Anolis sagrei: one gene and its partners. The protein of the gene in region 2 binds, or shares a complex with, the protein of the main gene of each other region. Links are inferred from orthologs where the notes say so. Each region holds a gene or a part of one and is shown on either strand. Other genes may lie near its edges.

Region 1 (7,525 bases), on a different chromosome or scaffold from region 2:
GCACACACACACGCAACCCCACGCTCCATCACTCCCCCCACCGCCGCACACACACGCAACCCCACTTCCCCCGCCGCCGCACACACACACACAACCCCAGGTTCCATCACTCCCCCCGCCGCCGCACACACACACGCAACCCCACGCTCCATCACTCCCCCACCCCAATCTTACCTCCTTTTACTTCACGCCACCTCCAAACCCCACCCCGCCCCTTCCCGCCCTGTCAAAATCTAGGAAAGACAGGAAGGAAGGAAAGAAGGAAGAAAGAGAAAGGGAGGTAAAGAAAAAGGGGGAAGGAAGGAAAGTTAGAGGAAGAAGAAAAGGAAAGAAAAGGAAAGATGGAAGGAAAGAAAAGAGAGACAGCAGAAGAGAAAGAAAAAGGGGGAAGGAAGGAAAGAGAGAAAGAAGAGGAGAAGGAAAGATGGGAAGGAAGGAAGGAAGGAAGGAAGGAAGGAAGGAAGGAAGGAAGGAAGGAAGGAAGGAAGGAGGGAGGGAGGGAGGGAGGGAGGGAGGGAAAGAAGGAGAGAAAGAGGGAAGATTGGCCACAGCAACACGTGGCGGGTAAAGGTTGTTATTTCTATTATTATTATTATGCTATTGTTCCTATGAGACCCTTTTAGGGGGAATGGGAGAGGTGTCAGGTCCCAGAGGCAATGCATTGCATTATTGTTATTGTTATGATGGTGGTGAAATAAAAGGAAATAAAAAGTGAAAGAAGGAAGCAAACAGGGAGGGAAGAAAGGCAAAGGAAGAAAGGGGGAGGGAATGAAGGAAAGAGAGAAGGATGATACCAAGTAGTGAAAGAAAGAAAGAGGTAGAGAAGGAAGAAAGGAGAGAAAGGAGGAGGAAAAGGGGGAAGGAATAGGTAGGGACCTCTCTTTCATAATAGTCCAGATATCTACCTCAACTTTGATAAGTTTTACTATAGGCCACAGCAACGCGTGGCAGGGCACAGCTAGTATAAATATAATATAACAACAGAGAGGAAACAAACAAGGAGATATAATATCACCTCTCAACAAAAGTTTGCTCGAGGCACTGTCAGGCCATTATATGCTAATCAAGGTGGTCAGTTGAAACATTCACACCTAGCTCCAGCAGACAAGAGTCCTTTGTCTCACCCTGGTCATTCCACAGATATATAAACCCATTTTCCTAGTTCCAACAGACCTCACTACCTCTGAGGATGCTTGCCATAGATGCAGGCGAAACGTCAGGAGAAATGCCTCTAGACCATGGCCATACAGCCCGAAAAACCTACAACAACCCCAAAATATTGTCGAAGGCTTTCATGGCTGGAATCACTAGGTTCTTGTAGGTTTTTTCGGTCTATAGGGCCATGTTCTAGAGGCATTTCTCCTGACGTTTCGCCTGCATCTATGGCAAGCATCCTCAGAGGTAGTGAGGTCTGTTGGAAATAGGAAAATGGGTTTATATATCTGTGGAATGACTGGGGTGGGGCAAAGAGCTCTCTGCTGAAGCTAGGTGTGAATGTTTCAGCTGACCACCTTCATTAGCATTTGGAACACTACATGGAACACTTTGAAAAACAAGCCCTGGAGACAGCAACCAAAAAGCCCACGATATGGTTCAGATATGTGGATGACACCTTCACCATTTGGAGCCATGAAGAAGAAGAGCTCAGCAGGTTCCTGGACCATCTTAACAACATCCACCCAAAAATCCAATTCACAATGGAAAAAGAAAATGAAGGAAGACTGCCTTTTCTAGATGTCCTAGTCATCCGCAAACCAGATCAACAATTGGGTCACACCGTCTACAGAAAACCCACACACACAGATAGATATCTACATAAAAACTCCAACCATCACCCAAGTCAAAAAGAAGCATCATTAAAGCCTTGGCAGACCCTGCAAAAAAAGAATCTGCAAATCCCACCTCCTCCAAGATGAACTGAACCACCTCAACTGGGCTCTCCAGGCCAATGGATACTCCACCTCAGACATCAGAAGAGCTGCAAGACCAAGAACAAGCCACGAGAGTCAAGATGAAGATCCACCCAGAGGAAAAGTGTTCCTGCCATACATCAAGGGAACCACTGACCGCATAGGGAAGCTGATGAGGAAACACAACATACAAACAATCTACAAACCCACCAAGAAAATCCAACAAATGCTACGTTCAGCAAAGGACAAGAGGGATCCTCTCACCTCTGCAGGAGTCTGCCGTGTGCCATGCAGCTGTGGACAGGTCTGCATGGGGACCACCAAACGCAGCATTGCCCAAACACGAATCAAGGAACATGAAAGGCACTGCAGACTACTTCAACCAGAGAAGTCAGCCATGGCAGAACACCTGATGAACCAACCTGGACACAGCATATTATTTGAGAACACAGAAATGCTGGACCATTCCAACAACCACCATGTCAGACTACACAGAGAAGCCATTGAAATCCACAAGCATGTGGACAATTTCAACTGAAAGGAGGAAACCATGAAAATGAACAAAATCTGGCTACCAGTATTAAAAAAACTCTAAAATTACTACAGCAAAACAGCAGAGAGGAAACAACCAGGCACATCTTAACACCTCTCAACAGAACATTTTCCCAGGCTCTGCCAGGCCTTCAAATGCTAATGAAGGTGGTCAGCTGAAACATTCACACCTAGCTCCAGCAGAGAAGAGCTCTTTGCCCCACCCCAGCCATTCCAGATATATAAACCCTTTTTCCTACTTCCAACAGACCTCACTACCTCTGAGGATGCTTGCCATAGATACAGGCGAAACGTCAGGAGAGAATGCCTCTAGAACATGGCCATACAGCCCGAAAAACCTACAACAATCCCAAAATAACCACAATTCCTACAATATAAATGTACCCTGGCGTTTGACAGCTTTCGTTATCTATTAAAGTCAAGGCGGGGAAACGCCTTCTCTTTGGTGTTACCATTGCGGCATTCCTCTGATCCACATCCGACGCAAAAGGACAAAACACCAGCCTTCTCGTCACGCCGCTCCCTGGAAATAATTTCAAAACTTTACCTCTGCCTCAAGCGCGCGCGCGCTCCGGAGAGAAGGCCGCTGATTGGCCAAGTCTCTGTTACCGTCACAAAAAGATGCGCGCGCGGATGAGCGTGCGCGCGGCTAAAGACGGGCGGAAGGAAAGGCTGATTACCATAGACTCAATAATGGTAGACTCATGTTGAATGTCAGCTTGCGGGTTCATTTGGCGAAAGTCCAGCTCTTAGGCCTCATCTACAGTTCTGACCATTTATTGCAGTTTGAGGCAAGCTGCAGCTTTCAAAAATCAGTTTGAAAGCTACATTTTATGATCAGTGTAAACCAGGAGTCCTCAAACGTTTAAATAGAGGGCCAGGTCACAGTCCCTCAAACTGTTGGAGGGCCAGATTAAAATTTGAAAAAAACCATGAATGAATTCCTATGCACACTGCACATAGAATCAAAGAGTTGGAAGAGACCTCATGGGCCATCCAGTCCAACCCCCTGCCAAGAAGCAGGAATATTGCATTCAAAGCACCCCGGACAGATGGCCATTATTCCAGTAAAACCAAATCATAACGAACCATTGAATGCATTTGCATATTATATCGAACTCAAATGATGTTCAATGTATTGTCGAAGGCCTTCATGGCTGGAATCACTCAGTTCTTGTGGGTTTTTTCGGGCTATATGGCCATGTTCTAGAGGCATTTCTCCTGACGTTTCGTCTGCATCTATGGCAAGCATCCTCAGAGGTAGTGAGGTCCTCACCTCTGAGGATGCTTCCATAGATGCAGGCGAAACGTCAGGAGAAATGCCTCTAGAACATGGCCATATAGCCCAAAAAACCCACAAGAACTGAGTCAAATGATGTTGTTTAGAGCACAAAAAATTGCAACAGTAAAAGATTTCTGAATACTCCCTAGACATTTCCACAAATCTGTTAACAACAATGTTCAGGGTTTACAATGGACTCTGCAGAAAATGCTTCAACTGTACTTCATGAAAAGGAAAACCAGCCTGTTAAGAAGTCTTGCAAATGCTGACTTATTATCAATAAATGTTTGATTTTTAAAAATAATCATAGAATCAAAGAGTTGGAAGAGACCTCATGGGCCATCCAGTCCAACCCCCTGCCAAGAAGCAGGAATATTGTATTCAAATCACCCCTGACAGATGGCCATCCAGCCTCCGTTTAAAAGCTTCCAAAGAAAGAGCCTCCACCACACTCTGGGGCAGAGAGTTCCACTGCTGAACGGCTCTCGCAGTCAGGAAGTTCTTCCTCATGTTCAGATGGAATCTCCTTTCTTGAAGTTTGAAGCCATTGTTTTGTGTCCTAATCCCCAAGGAAGCAGAAAACAAGCTTGCTCCCTCCTCCCTGTGGCTTCCTCTCACATATTTATACATGGCTATCATATCTCCTCTCAGCCTTCTCTTCTTCAGGCTAAACATGCCCAGCTCCTTAAGCCGCTCCTCATAGGGCTTGTTCTCCAGACCCTTGATCATTTTAATCGTCCTCCTCTGGGCACATTCCAGCTTGTCAATGTTGTTGTTCATTCGTTCAGTCATCTCCGACTCTTCGTGACCTCATGGACCAGTCCACGCCAGAGCTCCCTGTCGGCCGTCACCACCCCCAGCTCCTTCAAGATCAGTCCAGTCACTTCAAGGATGCCATCCACCCATCTTGTCCTTGGTCGGCACCTCTTCCTTTTGCCTTCCACTTTCCCCAGCATCATTGTCTTCTCCAGGCTTTGCTCATGATGTGGCCAAAGTACTTCAACTTTGTCTCTAGTATCCTTCCCTCCAATGAGCAGCCGGGCTTTATTTCCTGGAGGATGGACTGGTTGGATCTTCTCGCGGTCCAAGGCACTCTCAGCACTTTCCTCCAACACCACAGTTCAAAAGCATCGATCTTCCTTCGCTCAGCCTTCCCTAAGGTCCGGCTCTCACATCCGTAGGTGACTACAGGGAATACCATGGCTTTGACTAGGCGGATCTTTGTTGCCAGTGTGATGTCTCTACTCTTTACTATTTTATCGAGACTGGACATTGCTCTCCTCCCAAGAAGTCTTCTGATTTCCTGGCCGCAGTCTGCATCTGCAGTAATCTTTGCACCTAGAAATACAAAGCTTGTCAATATCTCTCTTGAATTGTGGTGCCCAGAATGGGACACAATATTCCAGGTGTGGTCTAACCAAAGTGGAAGAGGGGTAGCATGACTTCCCTGGACCCAATTCTATCGTTGGTCGGATTCAGAATGCTCTGTGATTGTAGGTGAACTATAAATCCCACAACTACAACTCCCGAATGTCAATATTCTATTTCCCCCAAACTCTACCAGTGTTCACATTTAGGCGTATTGAGTATTTGTGTAGAGTTTGGTCCAGATCCATCATTTGAGTCCACAGTGATCTCTGGATGTAGGTGAACTACAACTCCCAAACTCAAGGTCAATGCCCACCAAACCCTTCCAGGATTTTCTGTTGGTCATGGGAGAACTGTGTGTCAAGTTTGGTTCAATTCCATTGTTGGTGGAGTCCAGAATGCTCTTTGATTGTAAGTGAACTATAAATCCCAGCGACTACAAATCCCAAATGACAAAATGTGAACTCCCCTAGGGATCTTTGTTGAAGTACAGTATAAGATAACTTACGGTAATTCAGCTTGCAGTCAAATACTTCTTGCAAAGATGTACCATAATTAACCCAAGTTATAGTCCTATGCATGTTTTGTTGAAGCATGCAAGCAATCGGTGAGTGAGTGTCAACTCAAAATAATTGGTTGGGCAATGCATGGGGTGATGGCTGAGCCTGGAACTTTTGGATACTGTTGCACTTTACAGGCTTGAACTATGCAGATGTTAGATAAGAGAAACAGAGACAGACTGATTTGATTCTGCTGAAAAGAAGGCTTTTCATATGGTCAAAAATACAATTTTAGATCTCTCTGAAAGGACATTTAGTGAGTTGATGCAACTGATCATTTTAGACATATGTTCTGAATTAAGAAGAGGAAACTTCGTGTTTTTTATTGTTCATTTGCGTGGCATATTTTCTTTATCTGGCAAGGCAGTGTGTGGGCTGATCCAATGTGACCTTTACATGGTTTATTTTACATTATGCCACATGTTTTTCAATAGACCCTATGGAACATTACAAGATTTATTTCTCTATAACTGTAAATAACTGTTACTTATAATTGTCAGTCTATTGCATTGTTGGTAACAGAAAAATAGTACTTAACATGGTTTCATACTGTCTTTGTAAATATGTAAGTAGAGACCTCTTCTATCATGTATTTAATATTGTTCACACCACTCAATAATCAATTTATTTATAATTATATTTTACACAAATAGAACCACAGACGGATTAACTTTTTATTGCCAGCTGACATTTGTTAACTCTGAATTATTGTGATCTTTCCAATCAGTGCCTTGCATAACAACACTAGTCCTAAATTGACAACTTCTATATTGATTTTATATCAGTTCATTTGTCACGGCTTACTTTGAAGAATTCCAAAGCTTCCCTTATTTAGTGAGGGTACTAAAGTTCCTAGTTACTTTCTTTCTCCTCTGTTTTCTGGATGCAGAATGGTGAGGAAAGAGATAATTGCTAGATTTATAGTGTAAGTATGCTTTATTGTCACTGTTCATAATGAAACTTGAGAGTTGATTATGATTTCTAAAGCCCATCTTACTTCAGACGGTGGGCTATGTCTTAGGATTTCATCACATGAGGCAAGGGACTCAGGGCGGTGAACAACAAAAAAAAAATGGCAAACATTCAATCCCAACAAGACATAACAAAACAGGTCAAATCATAAACAATAAACAACATCAAAATATAATTTAAAAATAGCTAGCTGTGTCATCACATCTAGGGCCAGTTGAACTTATCCTCTGTTCCTCCCCAGTAACATTTTGACCATCTTCCAAACTGGGAGTTCCATCTTCCGATGGTATACTGACATATCTCTGGTTGTACTGATCGATTTAGTTTACTGATCCATTTGTTGTTGTTGTTGTTGTTCATTCGTTCAGTCGTCTCCGACTCTTCGTGACCTCATGGACCAGCCTACGCCAGAGCTCCCTGTCGGCCGTTACCACCCCCAGCTCCCTCAAGGTCAGTCCAGTCACTTCAAGGATGCCATCCATCCATCTTGCCCTTGGTCGGCCCCTCTTCCTTTTGCCTTACACTTTCCCCAGCATAATTGTCTTCTCTAGGCTTTCCTGTCTCCTCATGATGTGGCCAAAGTACTTCAACTTTGTCTCTAGTATCTTTCCCTCCAGTGAGCAGTCGGGCTTTATTTCCTGGAGGATGGACTGGTTGGATCTTCTCGCAGTCCAAGGCACTCTCAGCACTTTCCTCCAACACCACAGCTCAAAAGCATCGATCTTCCTTCGCTCAGCCTTCCCTAAGGTCCAGCTCTCACATCCGTAGGTTACTACAGGGAATACCATGGCTTTGACTAGGCGGATCTTTGTTGCCAGTCTGATGTCTCTACTCTTTACTATTTTATCGAGACTGGACATTGCTCTCCTCCCAAGAAGTAA
Region 2 (8,058 bases):
GTATCCCTCTGGGCAGCTAAACCAGGAAACCCCAACTGGATGGCCCCCCACGAGGGTCTTCCTCCAGGGGCAAACCAAGAATGGGCAACTTGGAATTCCCTGAACAGACTCAGAAGTGAGGTGGGCAAATCAAAAGACAACCTGGTAAAATGGAGAACAAACAACTCCACAATTGTATTCTTTCCCACAATGCCCTGCCTCATGCGCAGAGGAAGAATTGTTTGAGGCTACAGACAATGCGGTCGCTGTTGCCCATTTTTGGTCAAAAGATATTTAGCCACTTGTGCTCCTTCTACTTTTAATAGTTTCATACTATTTTATGCAATGCTTTTGATACGAAATAAATAAATAGATCGGGGAAATCCAATTCAAGGTAAATGCATACAGGACTACAGTCTTGGCCAGTTAATACATGCATACAAATAGACTGCAGTTCCATATTGTTGTGTATGTTATTTCCAACTTTACTGCGATGCAAAGGCAAACTCTTCATAGGGTTCGTGGCAAACTTTGCTCAGAGCGAGCTTATCATTGCTTCCCTTAGAGGCTGAAAGAGAGGGACTTGCTCAGGCTTACCCAACCCTGGGCTCCCATGGCTGAGCAGAAAGACTTTGAGAGAAGTGGACTACATTATGGGCAGAACATTCCTTACCTTGGAATAAAAGCCACCAAAATCCAAAAATGCCAGCATGGGTTGCTGACATGGTGATTTTTTTCAGACCTTTGCTTGCTAGCTAGCTTTTTGAATTAAATGTCATTACGTTTTCAAAAAATGCCATTTAAATCCAACACATTAAATTTTAAAAGAACATCATAAGCACTTAAATAGAAAACAAAACATTCAAATCCAAAGATATTCCCTTCCCATAACTTTCCCCTCAGCCTTGCAAACAAAAACTCTTGCTTTCTGATGGTTCAGTGAACACAGACTTCTTTTCATGGACAAAATTATTACAATTAGTATACAAAATTATTATTTTACGGGTACATGTCTATGATATATATAAAACAATAATAATAATAATAATAATAATAATAATAATAATAATGTCGCACAGACAGACTATAAGCAGAGGCATAACACCATTGCTCAGATGATTCATTGGAACCTGTGCCACAAATACCATCTGCCTGCAACAAAGAACTGGTGGGATCACAAGCCGGAAAAAGTTACAGAAGATGAACATGTCAAACTACTCTGGGACTTCCTAATTAAGACAGACAGAGTTTTGGAGCACAATACTCCTGACCTCACAATCGTGTTAAAAAACAGTGTGGATCATCGATGTTGCAATCCCAGGTGACAGCAGGATTGAAGAGAAACAACTGGAGAAACTGACACAATATGAGGATTTAAAGATTGAACTGCAAAGACTCTGACACAAGCCAGTCAAGATAGTCCCAGTGGTGATCGACACACTGGGTGCAGTGCCTAACGATCTTGGCCTGCATTTAAGCACAATTTGCGCTGATAAGATTACCATCTGCCAGCTGCAAAAGGCCACCCTACTGGGATCTGCACGCATTATTTGCAGATACATCACACAGTCCTAGACACTTGGGAAGTGTCCAACGTGTGATCTGCTGTGGACTCATCTTGTTGTGTTTCTAATAACAACAACAAACATCGAAAAAATCACGATCTATCAACTGCAAAAGGCCACCTTACTTGGATCTGTGCGCATCATTCGAAAATACATCACACAGTCCTAGACGCTTGGGAAGTGTACAACTTGTGATTTTGTGATACGAAATCCAGCATATAGATCTCGTTTGCTGTGACATACTGTGCTTTTGTGTCAATATTTATTTATTATTTTATTTATTTATTTTGAACTTTTATTATACCGGTCTTCTCGACCTCCGCAGAGGGACTCAGTCCGGTTCACAACAAAAGATTCATAAACAGTAGTTTAAAACATCACATCCCATGATACACTAACACATTAAAATACAGTCATATAATTACATAAGGCCAAGTCGTCAGAACGAAATCACAATTCATCGCCATCCGTCCGTGTGGTCAGGAGTTTATTGACTCACTCATCAAATGCTAAATTCCAGAGCCAAGTTTTCACCAGTTTTCTAAAAGTCAGGAGAGAAGGGGCAGTTCTCCAGTAGGAGAGTTCCAGAGCTGAGGGGCCACCACCGAGAGGGCCCTGTCCCTCGTCCCAACAGACGCAATTGCGAGAGTGGCGGGACCGAGAGCAGGGCCCCTCCAGAAGATCTTAACAACCTTGATGGTTCATAGGGGAGAATCCGTTCGGACAGGTAAACTGGGCCGGAGTCGTTTAGTAGTCGTCTAATAATAATAATAATAATAATAAAGGTAAAGATTAAGTCCAGTCATGCCCCACTCTGGGGGGTGGTGCTCATCTCCATTTCTAAGCCAAAGAGCCAGCATTGTCCGTAGACACCTCCTAGGTGATGTGGCCAGCATGACTGCATGGAGCGCCATTATAATAAACTGTATACCCCACCACCATCTCCCCAAGGGTGGCTAACACAGGGCCAAGCCCAACAATTACAATAATGCAAAGTAAAATACATCCAACAAATAATAACATCAAATAAAATGCAAACAATAACAAAATATACAATAGGATAAACACAGAATATGAAACAAAAATTATTTTCACGTCTGGATCCAGGTCTCACCTCCAAGATATGTCATACACATACATATATAATTGTGTGTGTGTGTACACACATACATACACACACACATTATCTTTCTTTACTTCTAAATATAATAATAATATAACACTACTTTATTTATATTCCGGCCTATCACCCCGAGGAGACTCCAACAAAGAAAAAAGGCAAACATTCCATGCCTCATAGCGTTTTGAAGCATGGCATTTAAAAGTGGTGTCAAACTGTGTTAATTCTACAGTGCAGATGCACCCTGGGCGGGCATTTGTGACGTCAGGGCGCACTCCCCTAAACTGGACGTTCTCACCTCCTGCGGCGACTCAGGAACAGCAACAACCCAGAATTCACACCAGCTCTGCTTCCTCTTCCTCCAGTTCCCTCTCTTTGAATTTGCGCGCCAGGTCACAAATCCCGCCCCCTTCCTGGAACGCCAGCCAATCCGCTCCGCGAACGACGCCTTTCGAATCTTGGCCGGAGGAAGAGAAGCACAAGCAACAATCTGACCAATGGGAATTAGAACTTGGGTCCACTTAGTTGGGTCATAGAATTTCCCCGAGTCTTGATGGCGATTGGCTGCGGTTGGTGTGACAGCGATGAGTGACGGGGGAAAGGAGCCAATGGTAACTAAAGGAGGGCGGGCCAAAGAAAGATCCTGTCTGCTGTTGAATGAATGCAGTTTGGAATGCTATGGGCTCTTAGGAGTTGTAGCTTCACAAGGTCTTTAGCCTTCCTAGACCCCAAAGCATTCAGCCATGGCGGTACAAGTGGTGTCAGAATGCATTAGTTCTTGGACAGCAATGGCTCCCAAAGTGACCCATTTAAGGTGGAATCAGGTGTCAAACAGGGAGTACAACAGCAAAACAGCACATCTTAACACCTCTCAACAAAAGATTTTCCCAGGCTCAGCCAGGCCTTCAAATGCTAATGAAGGTGGTCAGTTGAAACATTCACACCTAGCTCCAGCAGAGAAGAGCTCTTTGCCCCACCCCAGCCATTCCACAGATATATAAACCCATTGTCCTAATTCCAACAGACCTGACTACCTCTGAGGATGCTTGCCATAGATGCAGGCAAAACGTCAGGAGAAATGCCTCTAGAACATGGCCCTATAGCCCGAAAAAAACCCACAAGAACCTAGTGATTCCAGCCATGAAAGCCTTCGACAATACATTAAACAGGGATGTGTTATTGCCCCAACTTTATTCTCCATCTTCATCGCTATTGTGCAGGTACAGCTGTACCAGGAGCTCCAATTTTGTTTGCTTTGCATTGAATGTTTGTTGTCGTCCTAAGTTTCTGGGACTCTGCAGATAGGTGGCTTCTTTTGGCTGCAATCATAGGGCAAGCCACCTGTCAATTATAGTTAGGTTCCCTGGTCCCGCCCCCTTTTGGGGTTTTTGGAGGGAAAAGGAGCCAGTTTGGGTTCAGTCCACACAGAGAAGCTTTCCATGCAGGACATAATACCAAGAGCTCCTGTAGAAAGCTTCATCTACAGCTTGGCTGGGGTTATACAGCCCTACAGCTTGGCTGGAAGATATACTGCCTTACAGCTCCTTTGCAGCACCTAGTTTTCTTAGATCTACAGAGACATTTGCTGGAACACCTCAGCAAGCGAGAGTCCAAAAGTGGCAGGCCCAAACTCAGCACCTCAATCCATGGGTGATACCAGATGAGAGACTACCCCCCTCTGCGAGTGCAGCATTTTTCCGAATGAAGCAGAGAGTGTTTGAGGACCGGGACATCCGTAGGTAGACCAAGGTGAGTGTTTATAAAGCTAGTGTCCTCCCAACCCTGCTATACGCCTGTGAGACATGGACTGTCTACAGACATCACATGCAACTCCTGGAACGATTCCATCAGCGCTGCCTCTGGAAAATCCTGCAAATCTCTTGGGAAGACAAGCGGACAAAGAAGAAGAAAAGACCACTAGCATTGAAGCGATGGTCCTCCGCCACCAACTCTGCTGAACCAGCCACGTTGTCCAAATGCCCGACCACAGTCTCCCAAAGCAGTTGCTCTACTCCGAACTCAAGAACGGAAAACATAATGTTGGTGGACAGGAAAAGAGATTTAAAGATGGGCTCAAAGCCAACCTTAAAAACTCTGGCATAGACACTAAAAACTGAGAAGCCCCGACCCTTGAGCGCTCCAGCAGGAGGTCAGCTGTGACCAGCAATGCTGCAGAATTTGAAGAGGCATGAATGGAGGGCGAAGGAGAGAAACGTGCCAAGAGGAAGGCGCGTCAAGCCAACCCTGACAAGGACCGCCTTCCACCTGGAAACCAATGCCCTCACTGCGGGAGAACATGCAGATCACAAATAGGGCTCCACAGTCACCTATGGACCCACCTCCAGTACACCGATCTCGGAAGACTATCCAGTGATTCTGGCCATTAAAGCCTTCGACAATACATTAGACAAATTTATTCATCGCATTAGGTGTGAATCCAATATTTTTCTCAATCAAAACAAAAGGTTTGTGCTTGTATTTGAAATGTTTTTTCTTTATTTCTAAAGTTACTACCTTATAAAAAACATTCAGGCAATAGACTAAAGAATGAAGAACTTTGTGGGTTCATAATGCTTAGAGACAGAGTTCTGAGCATTCCTTAGCATTGTTGGAATTCAACCCCACACTGTCCAAGTCTCAAGTCCTCAACGAGGAACAGTTTAGTTAGCTTAGTATAGACTAAGTGTTTCCCTTCCCCCATGACTCCTGAATGACAGCTGGGAATGTATCTATTTCTTCTCCCCTTTCCCTTTCAGCTCTCATTCTGATGAGTTGTTTAAAATGGATATTTTTCTACTGCAAGCATTTTTAAACCTGACTTCTGCTTTCTTACACTTTGGTATGAAGAGTATGTGCTGTGTGTTTTGAGATCTCTTTCTGCTTGTGTGTCAGGAGAGATGTCGTGATTGAGTTTTCCCCTCTCTTGAAACCTTAGAAGAGATGGGTGTCAGAGTAGCTCAGACCCAGTTATTTACCATAAAGAAATGTAGTTAGTTGTTTACTATCTATATAAATAAAAATGTAATGTTAGTTCGTGCTCCCATCAGAACTCAAAAACCACTGGGGGAATTGACACCAAATTTGGACACAAGACACCTAACAGTCCAATTTATGTCCTCCACTAAAAAATATATATGATTTTGTCATTTGGGAATTGTCGTGGCTGGGATTTATAGTTTACCTACAATCAAAGAGCATTCTGAACTCCACCAATGATGGAACTGGGCCAAACTTAGCACACAGGGCTCCCATGACCAACAGAAAATACTGGAAAGGTTTGGTGGACATTGACCTTGAGTTTGGGAATTATAGTTCACCCACATCCAGAGAGCACTGTGGACTCAAACAATGATGGATCTGGACCAAACTTGGCACGAATATTCCATATGCCCAAATATGAACACAGATGGAGTTTAAGGGAAATAGACCTTGACATTTGGGAGTTATAGTTACTGAGATTTATAGTTCACCTACAATCAAAGAGCATTCTGAACTCCACCAATGATGGAATTGAACCAAACATGGCATACAGGACTTCCATGACCAACAGAACACACTGGAAGGGTTTGGTGGGCATTGACCTTGAGTTTGGGAGTTGTAGTTCACCTACATCCAGACAGCACTGTGGACTCAAACAATGATGGATCTGGACCAAACTAGACACAAAAATTCCATATGCCTAAATATGAACACAGATGGAGTTTGGAGGAAATAGACCTTGACATTTGGGATTTGTAGTTACTGGGATTTATAATTCACTACAATTGAAGAGCATTCTGAAACCCAGAAATGGGGCAAACTTCCCACACAGAACCCCCATGACCAACAGAAAATACTTAAGGCCATCCAGTCCAACTCTCTTCACCAGGGCAAGAAAATGTAATCAGAGCCCTCCTGACAAAGAGCCATCCAGTCATAAATATAGATAGATTGATATGATTCTCTCTCTCACACACACAGATATAGTATCATAGATTTGAAAGAGACCCCTAAAGAAGGACAATGATATGTTGCATGTTCCAGAGTGGGCAAACCAGACACTCTCCACATCAACACTGACAAAGAAACAACAAGAAATACTGTTTACTCACAAGCATAAAGGAATTACATATATTAGAAGCCAACACTTTCTCATTACTTTATTTTCCAGATCACCAGACTGGGCCACAGCTATGCGTGGCAGGGGAAAGCTAGTTGTAAATAAACCTTTTATGATTTTTTAAGATTAGACTCTGCATGTTTACCTCCCAAGCTCTGAATTCTTTACAGCCACATCACACGACACTTCACACTCTGCTTGCTAATGAGCTGAATGCTCAACTTTTAGTATCCTGTTTGATTTTTGGATGCTCCGCTATATTTAGGGTAGTTTTCCCTAACAACCATGGCCTATGCAAGTAAAGGCTGATAGGAGATGCAGTCCAGCAACATCCACAGAGCTACTGGGTTTTCATCCCTTTTCTAAGAGCCTCTATTGTCTATCCCTGGTGTGGATTTTCTGGTGCCTAGAAAGGTTTGAGGAAGTGGAGAATGTTTTCTTGCACTCCGGGCACTTGTATGGCTTCTCTCCAGTGTGCGTCCGCATGTGCTTTTTGAGCCCTTGGCTCCACTGGAAACTTTGGCCACACTCAGAACATACAAAGGGCTTCTCCCCTGTGTGCGACCTTTCATGCTTAGCGAGTTGTGATCTTTGAATGAAGCCGTTGCCGCAGTACGAACACTGATACGGTTTCTCGCCTGTGTGCGTCCGTGTGTGCGCGGTTAAATGAGAGCTCGAGATGAAGCACTTGCCGCAGTCGGGACACTGGTATGGCTTCTCCCCTGTGTGTGTCCGTTTGTGTGTAGTGAGGTGGGAGCTGTATGTGAAACACTTGCCGCACTCGGAGCACTGATACGGCTTCTCGCCCGTGTGGATACGCTCATGCTTTCGGAGCTGGCAGCTAGAAATGAAGCTCTTTCCACACTCTACGCAGACGTATGGTTTCTCCCCTGTGTGGGTCCTCATGTGCGTAATAAGGTCCGATTTCTGGTTGAAGCTTTTGCTGCAGACGGCACATTTGTGGGGTCTCTCCCCAGTGTGGGTCCATTTGTGTATAACGAGGTGCCGAGTCTGGCTAAAACTCTCTCCACACTCTGCACACTTGTATGGCTTCTCTCCTTTGTGGATTCCTTCATGAATCACCAATTGCGGCCTGTACCTGAAACTCTGCCCACAATCCGAGCATTTGTACGGTTTCTCTCCCGTGTGCACTCTCCGGTGCCTCAGGAGGTTGCAGCGTGTGCCGAAGCTTTTGCCACACTCCGAACATTTGTACGGCGTCTCTCCAGTGTGGGTCCTTTCGTGGATGAGGCGGCCGATTTTATCGCTGAAGGTTTTGCCACATGTGGAGCACT
Region 3 (7,848 bases), on a different chromosome or scaffold from region 2:
AATGATATAATAATATACGACTACTGTTACTAATAAAAGAATATTTTATAATGTAATATACTAATAATATTTAATAATACTAATATATACTACCACTGCTACTAAATAATAATAATAATAATAACAACAACAACAACAACAATAACTATATAATATACTTATGCTAATATTAAATAATACTAATAATCAGGGCCAGCTAACACTTCCCAACAAAGGATTCCCCCAGGCAGGAAGCAGCCAGGCTTTGAAGCTGCAAGGCCATTCAATGCTAATCAAAGTGGCCAATGGCAACATTCACACTTGCCTCAAGCAGACAAGAGTTCCTTCTCCCACCCTGGACATCATTCCACAGATATATAAACCCCACTTGCCTAGTTTTCAAGAGACCCCATAACCTCTGAGGATGCCTTATATTAATAAGAATATGAATTGAGTAAATAATTATATATTATAAGTAAGTAATACTAAATAATAAAATTAAGCCAGTCATACTAAACAATACCAATCATATGATTTGAGTAAATAATACATAAATGATAAGTAGTTAATTATAATATTATATAATATAATATACTATCACTGCTACTAATAAACTAATAATAATTTATAATAAAACAATATACTAATAATAGTTAATAATTATAATACTATACTACTACTGCTACTAATAAAATAGTAATAATAATATATACTATATTATAATGAAATGAATTCAATCATATTAATACCAATCATATTAAATGAGTAAATAATAATAAATAAATAATAAACAATGCTACATGATAAAGTTAAGTCAATCATGCTAATATAAATTAATAGGTAAAGGTAAAGGTTGTCCCCTGACATTAAGTCCAGTTGTGTCTGACTCTGGGGTGTGGTGCTCATCTCCATTTCTAAGCCGAAGAGCCGGCGTTGTCCGTAGACACCTCCAAGGTCATGTGGCCGGCATGACTGCATGGAGCACCGTTGGAAAAATTCTATCTATATACAAATTGGAAAAATATAAATTAATACTGTTATGCAAATCATCATCAACATGATACAAATTGGAAAAATAGCAAAAATAAGAAAGATACCAAGGGATAAAAATTGTGTCAAGAATGAAAACAAGAATAATGTGAGTAAATAATAATATTAATTAAGTCATGGTAATAATAATAATGGAGTAAAACTGGAGTAAGTACCTAATACTACATAATAAAATTAAGTCAGTTATACTAAGTAATACATATAAATTAATAATAATAATCAATCAATAATAATCAATAATCGGAATTTAGAGCGTCAGGCCTCGTTGAAAAAGGCTATCTGTGCTCCAGCTAAAAAACGGGGGAAATTTTGGGGACCGAAATGGCTTTTGGGGTATTTTAAAAAAACAGGGATGGATAGGGTTTCTGTAAGGAGCGAGGAATGCCATTGTCCCCGTCTTTGGAAAAGAGACAAGAAAACCTTAAGTCCCAATGACCACTGGAGGTCAGCTTTTCAATAATATAGTGCAATCCAACTTTATTTGAGGGAATATCTTTCATGCTCACTGTCTCTCCAAAGAAGAAGAGGCCAGGAGAGAAACAGCAGCAGAAGGAGGAGGAGAAGGAGGAGAAGGGAGGCAGAGCGCTCACTGTCTCTCTCTACACACAGAACAGTGCATCCCATGGCTTGGAAGGAACAAGGGCGTGCAGAGATTATCATATCATAACACTATATAATATAATATAATATAATATAATATAATATAATATAATCACCATATAATATAATATAATATTTATTATAATAATATAATATAATTATTCATCTAGCTATCTAACAATTTATATTATATTATATTGCATAATAGTATATAATGTGTAATATTGCATTGCAATACAGTATATCATATTATATTACAATATCTATATCTACCATATATCTAGCTATCTATCTATCTATATAGGTAGGTGTGTGTGTATATATATGTGTGTGTGTGTGTGTGTATATGGATGTTCGAACAGGCATTTGGTTAATCGGTGCAATGAATGTGATGATTACAGGATTGGTAATATGGACGACGAAACTGGATCACGATTTGGTCATGAGATGCATTGGATTGTTGTTGTGCCAATATTGTGTATTATGCTTTTATGGTTTTAAATTGTATATTGCTGACTGTTGTATCTTGTTGTAAACCGCGTTGAGTCGCCAGCTAGGCTGAGAAACTGCGGTATACAAAGTAAAGTAAATATATATATATATATATATATATATATATAGTATATTATAGTAAAAAAGGTTTTCCCCTTGACATGAAGTCTAATTATGTCTGACTCGGGGGGGGGGGGGGGGTGGTGGTGGTGTAGAGTATCTCCATTTCTAAGCTAAAGAGCTGGCGTTGTCCATAGACCCCAGGCATGACTGCATGGAGCGCCGTTACCTTCCCGCCTGAATGGTACCTTTTGGTCTACTCACATTTGCATGTTTTCAAACTACTAGGGTGGGCAGAAGTTGGGGCTAACAATTGGAGCTCACTCCAGATTTGAACTAGCGACCTTTTGGTCAGCAAGTTCAGCTGCTCAGAGGTTTCACCCACTGCACCATCAGGGGCTCCTGTATATTATAGTACTCTATATTACAGTAGACTATATTACAGTGTGTATATATATATCATAATATAATATTATACTATAATATAATTATAATAATAAAAGCTATTAATCTATCCATCTAACAATTTATATTATATTTCATAATAATATATAATGTGTGTGTGTGTGTGTGTGTGTATATATATATATATATATATATATAATGTATTGCATAATAATATATAATGCAATACAATATAAACAATATAATATGAATAAACAACAAGAATATTATATTGTCATGTAATATGCAATACATATATATAGCATATTGTAGTAATCTATATTTCAGTCGTTTCCAACTCTTTGTAACCTCATGGACCCAGTCCACGCCAGAGCTCCCTGTCGGCCATCACCTCCCCCAGCTCCTTCAGAGTCAAGCCAGTTACTTCAAGGATGCCATCCATCCATCTTGTCCTTGGTCAGCCCCTCTTCCTTTTTCCTTCCATTTTCCCCAGTATATAATATTATACAGTACATATACACACATGGTAATATAATGTTATAACAATAATATATCTCTATCTATCTATCTTTATAATATCTATTATATTACATTATAATATATATAATATATATATTATACAATACAGTATACAAGATTATGGCAACAAGAATGATTGACAACTGGAAAATAGAGGGAGAAACCGTGGAGGCCGTGACAGACTTTGTATTTCTAGGTGCAAAGATTACTGCAGATGCAGACTGTAGCCAGGAAATCAGAAGACGCTTACTTCTTGGGAGGAGAGCAATGTCCAGTCTCGATAAAATAGTGAAGAGTAGAGACATCAGACTGGCAACAAAGATCCGCCTAGTCAAAGCCATGGTCTTCCCTGTAGTAGTCACCTACGGATGGGAGAGCTGGACCTCAGGGAAGGCTGAGCGAAGGAAGATCGATGCTTTTGAGCTGTGGTGCTGGAGGAAAGTGCTGAGAGTGCCTTGGACTGCGAGAAGATCCAACCAGCCCATCCTCCAGGAAATAAAGCCCGACTGCTCACTGGAGGGAAAGATACTAGAGACAAAGTTGAAGTACTTTGGCCACATCATGAGGAGACAGGAAAGCCTAGAGAAGACAATTATGCTGGGGAAAGTGGAAGGCAAAAGGAAGAGGGGCCGACCAAGGGCAAGATGGATGGATGGCATCCTTGAAGTGACTGGACTGACCTTGAAGGAGCTGGGGGTGGTAACGGCCGACAGGGAGCTCTGGCGTAGGCTGGTCCATGAGGTCACGAAGAGTCGGAGACGACTGAACGAATGAACAACAACAACAATACAGTATTATAAATATGATATACAATATAGGAAATATTACATTATATATAATATATAATGTATTATAATATATATATATAGAGAGAGAGTACAATATAGCCTATATTTATATTATATTACACTATATTATCCATGCCATATGCACAATGGAGGACCTTCTTATAGCAACACCAGAGGCACTCCAACTAGCCAGCTACTAGTCCATAATAAATAAACAAACAAACAAACAAACAAATAAATACACTATATCAGGGGTCCTCAAACGATGTTATATATAATATATAATATATAATACATTGCAATATAATACATCTGCATTCCACTCTTGTTGCATCTGGTGTCAATTTGAGACATGAAGACCTTCATAAATTCATCTGTAGACTGGAAAGCAATGGCATCTCTAGGCCTTTTCTAGGTACTCCAGGCAGTTCTATGATATCTTGGAAGTTATCATAAAGTTGGGTTAAAGGATGGAGAAAATGCCTAGAGTGGGAATGGTCCTCTACGGTCCATTTTTGGGCATTTTGGAGTCCAAAACATTGGACCAAGAAGTCCAAACTGTTGGCAAGAATGGTGATTTCTAATGTGTTCTAATCTTACGTTGATGTCTTTTAAGGTTTTATGTATTTTAATACTTTATTTTGACCTGTTTTGGTGATGGCATACAATGCTTTATGCCTTGAGTAGAGGCAGGTTAGAAATAATGATGATGATGATGATGATGATGATGATGATGATGCATTTCCAGGTCTGTTGTGATCTATGCCTCCCAACCTTTGCAATTGTTTTTCTCTCCTCCTGCTTCGTTCCCTCTTTCTTTCTTTCCTTCCTTCCCTCTTTCTTTTGCTGAAGCAGAAGCGAATGGGTTGACATTAGCAGCAAAGAGGGAAGTGAGTCACTCTGAAAGCCACTCGGGTTTCCATAAACCCACGCGTTTGGGAAAGGAAAGAACATCAGAACACATTGCCTTCCAAACATCTTCAAGGTTTCCCCCTCCTTATTTAATTTACTTTTATATTACATTTTTAAATTTCATTTCTTATTTTTTCAATTATAATTTTAATTTTAATTTATATTTATTGAAGTTTATTTCAATGCTTATTTTTTAATGTTTATTATATATCATTTTTCCGTTTAATTTTAATGTTTACTTTTATTTTTTTATTTAATTTTAATGTTTATTTTTATTTAGGGATGTTTATTTTTACGATTTTGGTTTTTAAACTTTCAAGTGGACACCCCAGCCACATACACACATACATAATTTTCACTTTTTATTATGTATATAGATAGATAGATAATCAGTTTGGAAGTTTCCCGAAGAATATGTTTACAGATCAAGGATTATTTTGGATATTATATTATATTTATCGTAGTATAGTATATATATATTCCGGATGGAAATTTGCTGAAGGATCCATTCACTGATGAAGGATTATTTCTAATACTTAGCAGGATAGTATAAGGACCCATTAATCTCTACAATTTGAGGATGCAGAGAAGAGTAGAGGGTGAATCCTGGCTCTGCCATAATATCTAAGGGGTTAATTTAGAAGGCTAAATATGTCCCTTTCTGGGCATTTTCTAGGTCAAACAAAACCTATTTCAGTGTGTTTCCCCTCCTGTGAATGGAAAGTAAGAGAAAGGTACTCAGAAATATGGGATTATTGAGTTTTTTTACCCCTCCTTTTTTGCTAAAGGGACAAAACCCTTGTGTCGCAAGAACTGACTCAGAAGAAGGAGCAAATATTTGGAGAGCCGTTTTTATCCGTCTGCCCGGCTTGCGGGACAAGGGCCCTGTTTTCTGGCTTTCAGTGCAAATAATCCTAGCCAAACATTCCCCTGGTTTGACTTGGATGTAAATAAGTCATGTCCCGTCCCCCCCAATTGAACACTTTAAGTGTGAGAGCTTGGTAAAGCCTAATAATAATAATAATAATAATAATAATAATCCATGATCCCAAGGTTCAAAGCTAGCAAATACTTCCAACTCTATGATTGTATTATTATTATTATTATTATTATTATTATTGTATTGTCGAAGGCTTTCATGGCCGGAATCACTGAGTTGTTGTAGATTTTTCCAGGCGATATGGCCATGTTCTAGAGGCATTTTCTCCTGACGTTTCGCCTGCATCTATGGCAAGCATCCTCAGAGATAGAGAGGTCTGTTGGAAGTAGGAAAATGGGTTTATATATCTGTGGAATGACCAGGGTAGGACAAAGGACTCTTGTCTGCTGGAGCTAGGTGTGAATGTTTCAACTGATCACCTTGATTAGCACTTCCAAGCCATTAAATGCTAATCAAGGGGGTCAGTTGAAACATTCACACCTAGCTCCAGGCACTGCACCCGTGTGCTGATCACCACTGCGACCACCTTGACTGGCTTGTGCCAGTCTTTGCATTATTATTATTATTATTATTATTATTATTATTATTTGAAACTCAACAAGATGAGTCCACAGCAGACACTCTGCTGGCTGTTGAATTGGATCACACGTCGGACACTTCCCAAGTGTCTAGGGCTGTGTGATGTATCGCCAAATAATGCGTGCAGATCCCAGTAAGGTGGCCTTCTGCAACTGGCAGATAGTAATTTTGTCAGTGCCGATTGTGTTTAAGTGCAGGCCTAGGTCTTGAGGCACTGCACCGAGTGTGCCGATCACCACTGGGACCCCCTTGACTGGCTTGTGCCAGAGTCTTTGCAGTTTGATCTTTAAATCATCATATTGTGTCACCTTTTCCTGTTGTTTCTCTGCAATCCTGCGGTCATCTGGGAGTGCAACATCGACGACCCATACTTTGTTTTTTAACACGATTGTGAGGTCAGGAGTCTTGTGCTCCAGAATTCTGTCTGTCTGAATTCGGAAGTCCCAGAGTACCTTGACGTGTTCATTCTCTGTAACCTTTTCTGGCTTGTGATCCCACCAGTTCTTTGTCACAGGCAGATGGTGTTTGTGGCACAAGTTCCAATGAATCATCTGAGCAACGGTGTTGTGCCTCTGCTTGGAATCTGTCTGTGTGATCTTCTTGCGGCAGTTGAGGATGGGATCTATTCTTTCACCTGCTTCCTTGCAGAGTCTACAGTTGGGATCTGTTGTCGACTTTTCAATTCTGGCTTGGATGGCGTTGGTTCGAATGGCTTGTTCTTGGGCTGCCAGAACCAGGTCCTCCTTTGTCTCCTTTTTCCGAGTTCCATTTGTGAGCCACAGCCATGTTTTTCTTTGTCCATTTCGCTCTCAATTTTTCCCAGGAACTGTCCAGGGAGAGCCTTCTTTGGCCAGTGTTCTCTTCTGCTCTGGATTGTGTTTTTATGGTATTCCCTCTTGTCTTTTGCACTTGAAGCAGTTTCCTACTCTTGACTTCCCTCAGTGTTGGTTTTTCACTGCCTTTCCCATCATCTACCAGTGTGTTTTTCTCTTCTTCTTCTACTGTTGGTTTCCCTTGCAGAAGCCCTCTCCTCTCTGCCTCCTGATTTTCTGGGTAGGTCAAGTCTGTCGACATCACTATGCAGGTGTAATGCGTAGTGGATGGCCATCAGTGGATGGCCCAGGGGTTGAGAGCCTTGATCGTATTTCCGCCATTTAATTTGCTCTTCAAAACTTTTCTGACTCTTTGGATATATTCTTTGCTGACCACATTTTTCACTTGCCCATGCTTGATATTGTCCCACTGTAGTATGCCTAGATTTTTATAGGCTTCAGGGTTATTGCACTTTATGGTATTATTATTATTATCATTATTATTATTATCATTATTATTATTATTATTATTATTACTATTATGCAGATCCTGGATGGCCATCTGTCGAGAAGGTAGCACTGTGTCTTCCTAGGATATTATTATTATTATTATTATTATTATTATTATTACGCAGATCCTGGATGGCCATCTGTCAAGAAGATAGCACTGTGTCTTCCTAGGATATTATTATTATTATTATTATTATTTAGA

The links.
Region 1: CENPA (region 2) and CENPC share a complex: the UniProt entries of both Homo sapiens proteins name them as parts of the CENPA-NAC complex. The link is inferred for Anolis sagrei from reciprocal best matches to the Homo sapiens genes CENPA and CENPC.
Region 3: the proteins of CENPA (region 2) and NTMT1 are in contact, whole or in part, in a crystal structure (PDB 5CVD), measured with the Homo sapiens proteins. The link is inferred for Anolis sagrei from reciprocal best matches to the Homo sapiens genes CENPA and NTMT1. Residues at the interface, in NP_001800.1 of Homo sapiens: Gly2, Pro3, Arg4, Arg5, Arg6, Ser7; in NP_001273725.1 of Homo sapiens: Tyr19, Trp20, Met30, Leu31, Gly32, Tyr34, Ile37, Trp136, Asn168, Ile175, Asp177, Asp180, Asp212, Glu213, Ile214, Tyr215.

What each region holds. Positions count from the first base shown.
Region 1 is NC_090026.1:56,281,229-56,288,753, reverse strand, and holds the start of CENPC (centromere protein C), read right to left. Parts: upstream 3,032-7,525; 5' UTR 2,918-3,031; coding exon 2,915-2,917; intron 1-2,914. UniProt on the Homo sapiens protein: Component of the CENPA-NAC (nucleosome-associated) complex, a complex that plays a central role in assembly of kinetochore proteins, mitotic progression and chromosome segregation.
Region 2 is NC_090022.1:15,640,538-15,648,595, forward strand, and holds the start of CENPA (histone H3-like centromeric protein A), read right to left. Parts: upstream 3,073-8,058; 5' UTR 2,963-3,072; intron 1-2,962. Other genes in the region: zinc finger protein 850-like, read right to left, coding at 7,136-8,058. UniProt on the Homo sapiens protein: Histone H3-like nucleosomal protein that is specifically found in centromeric nucleosomes. Replaces conventional H3 in the nucleosome core of centromeric chromatin that serves as an assembly site for the inner kinetochore.
Region 3 is NC_090031.1:3,641,155-3,649,002, forward strand, and holds the start of NTMT1 (N-terminal Xaa-Pro-Lys N-methyltransferase 1), read left to right. Parts: upstream 1-4,760; 5' UTR 4,761-4,878; intron 4,879-7,848. UniProt on the Homo sapiens protein: Distributive alpha-N-methyltransferase that methylates the N-terminus of target proteins containing the N-terminal motif [Ala/Gly/Pro/Ser]-Pro-Lys when the initiator Met is cleaved.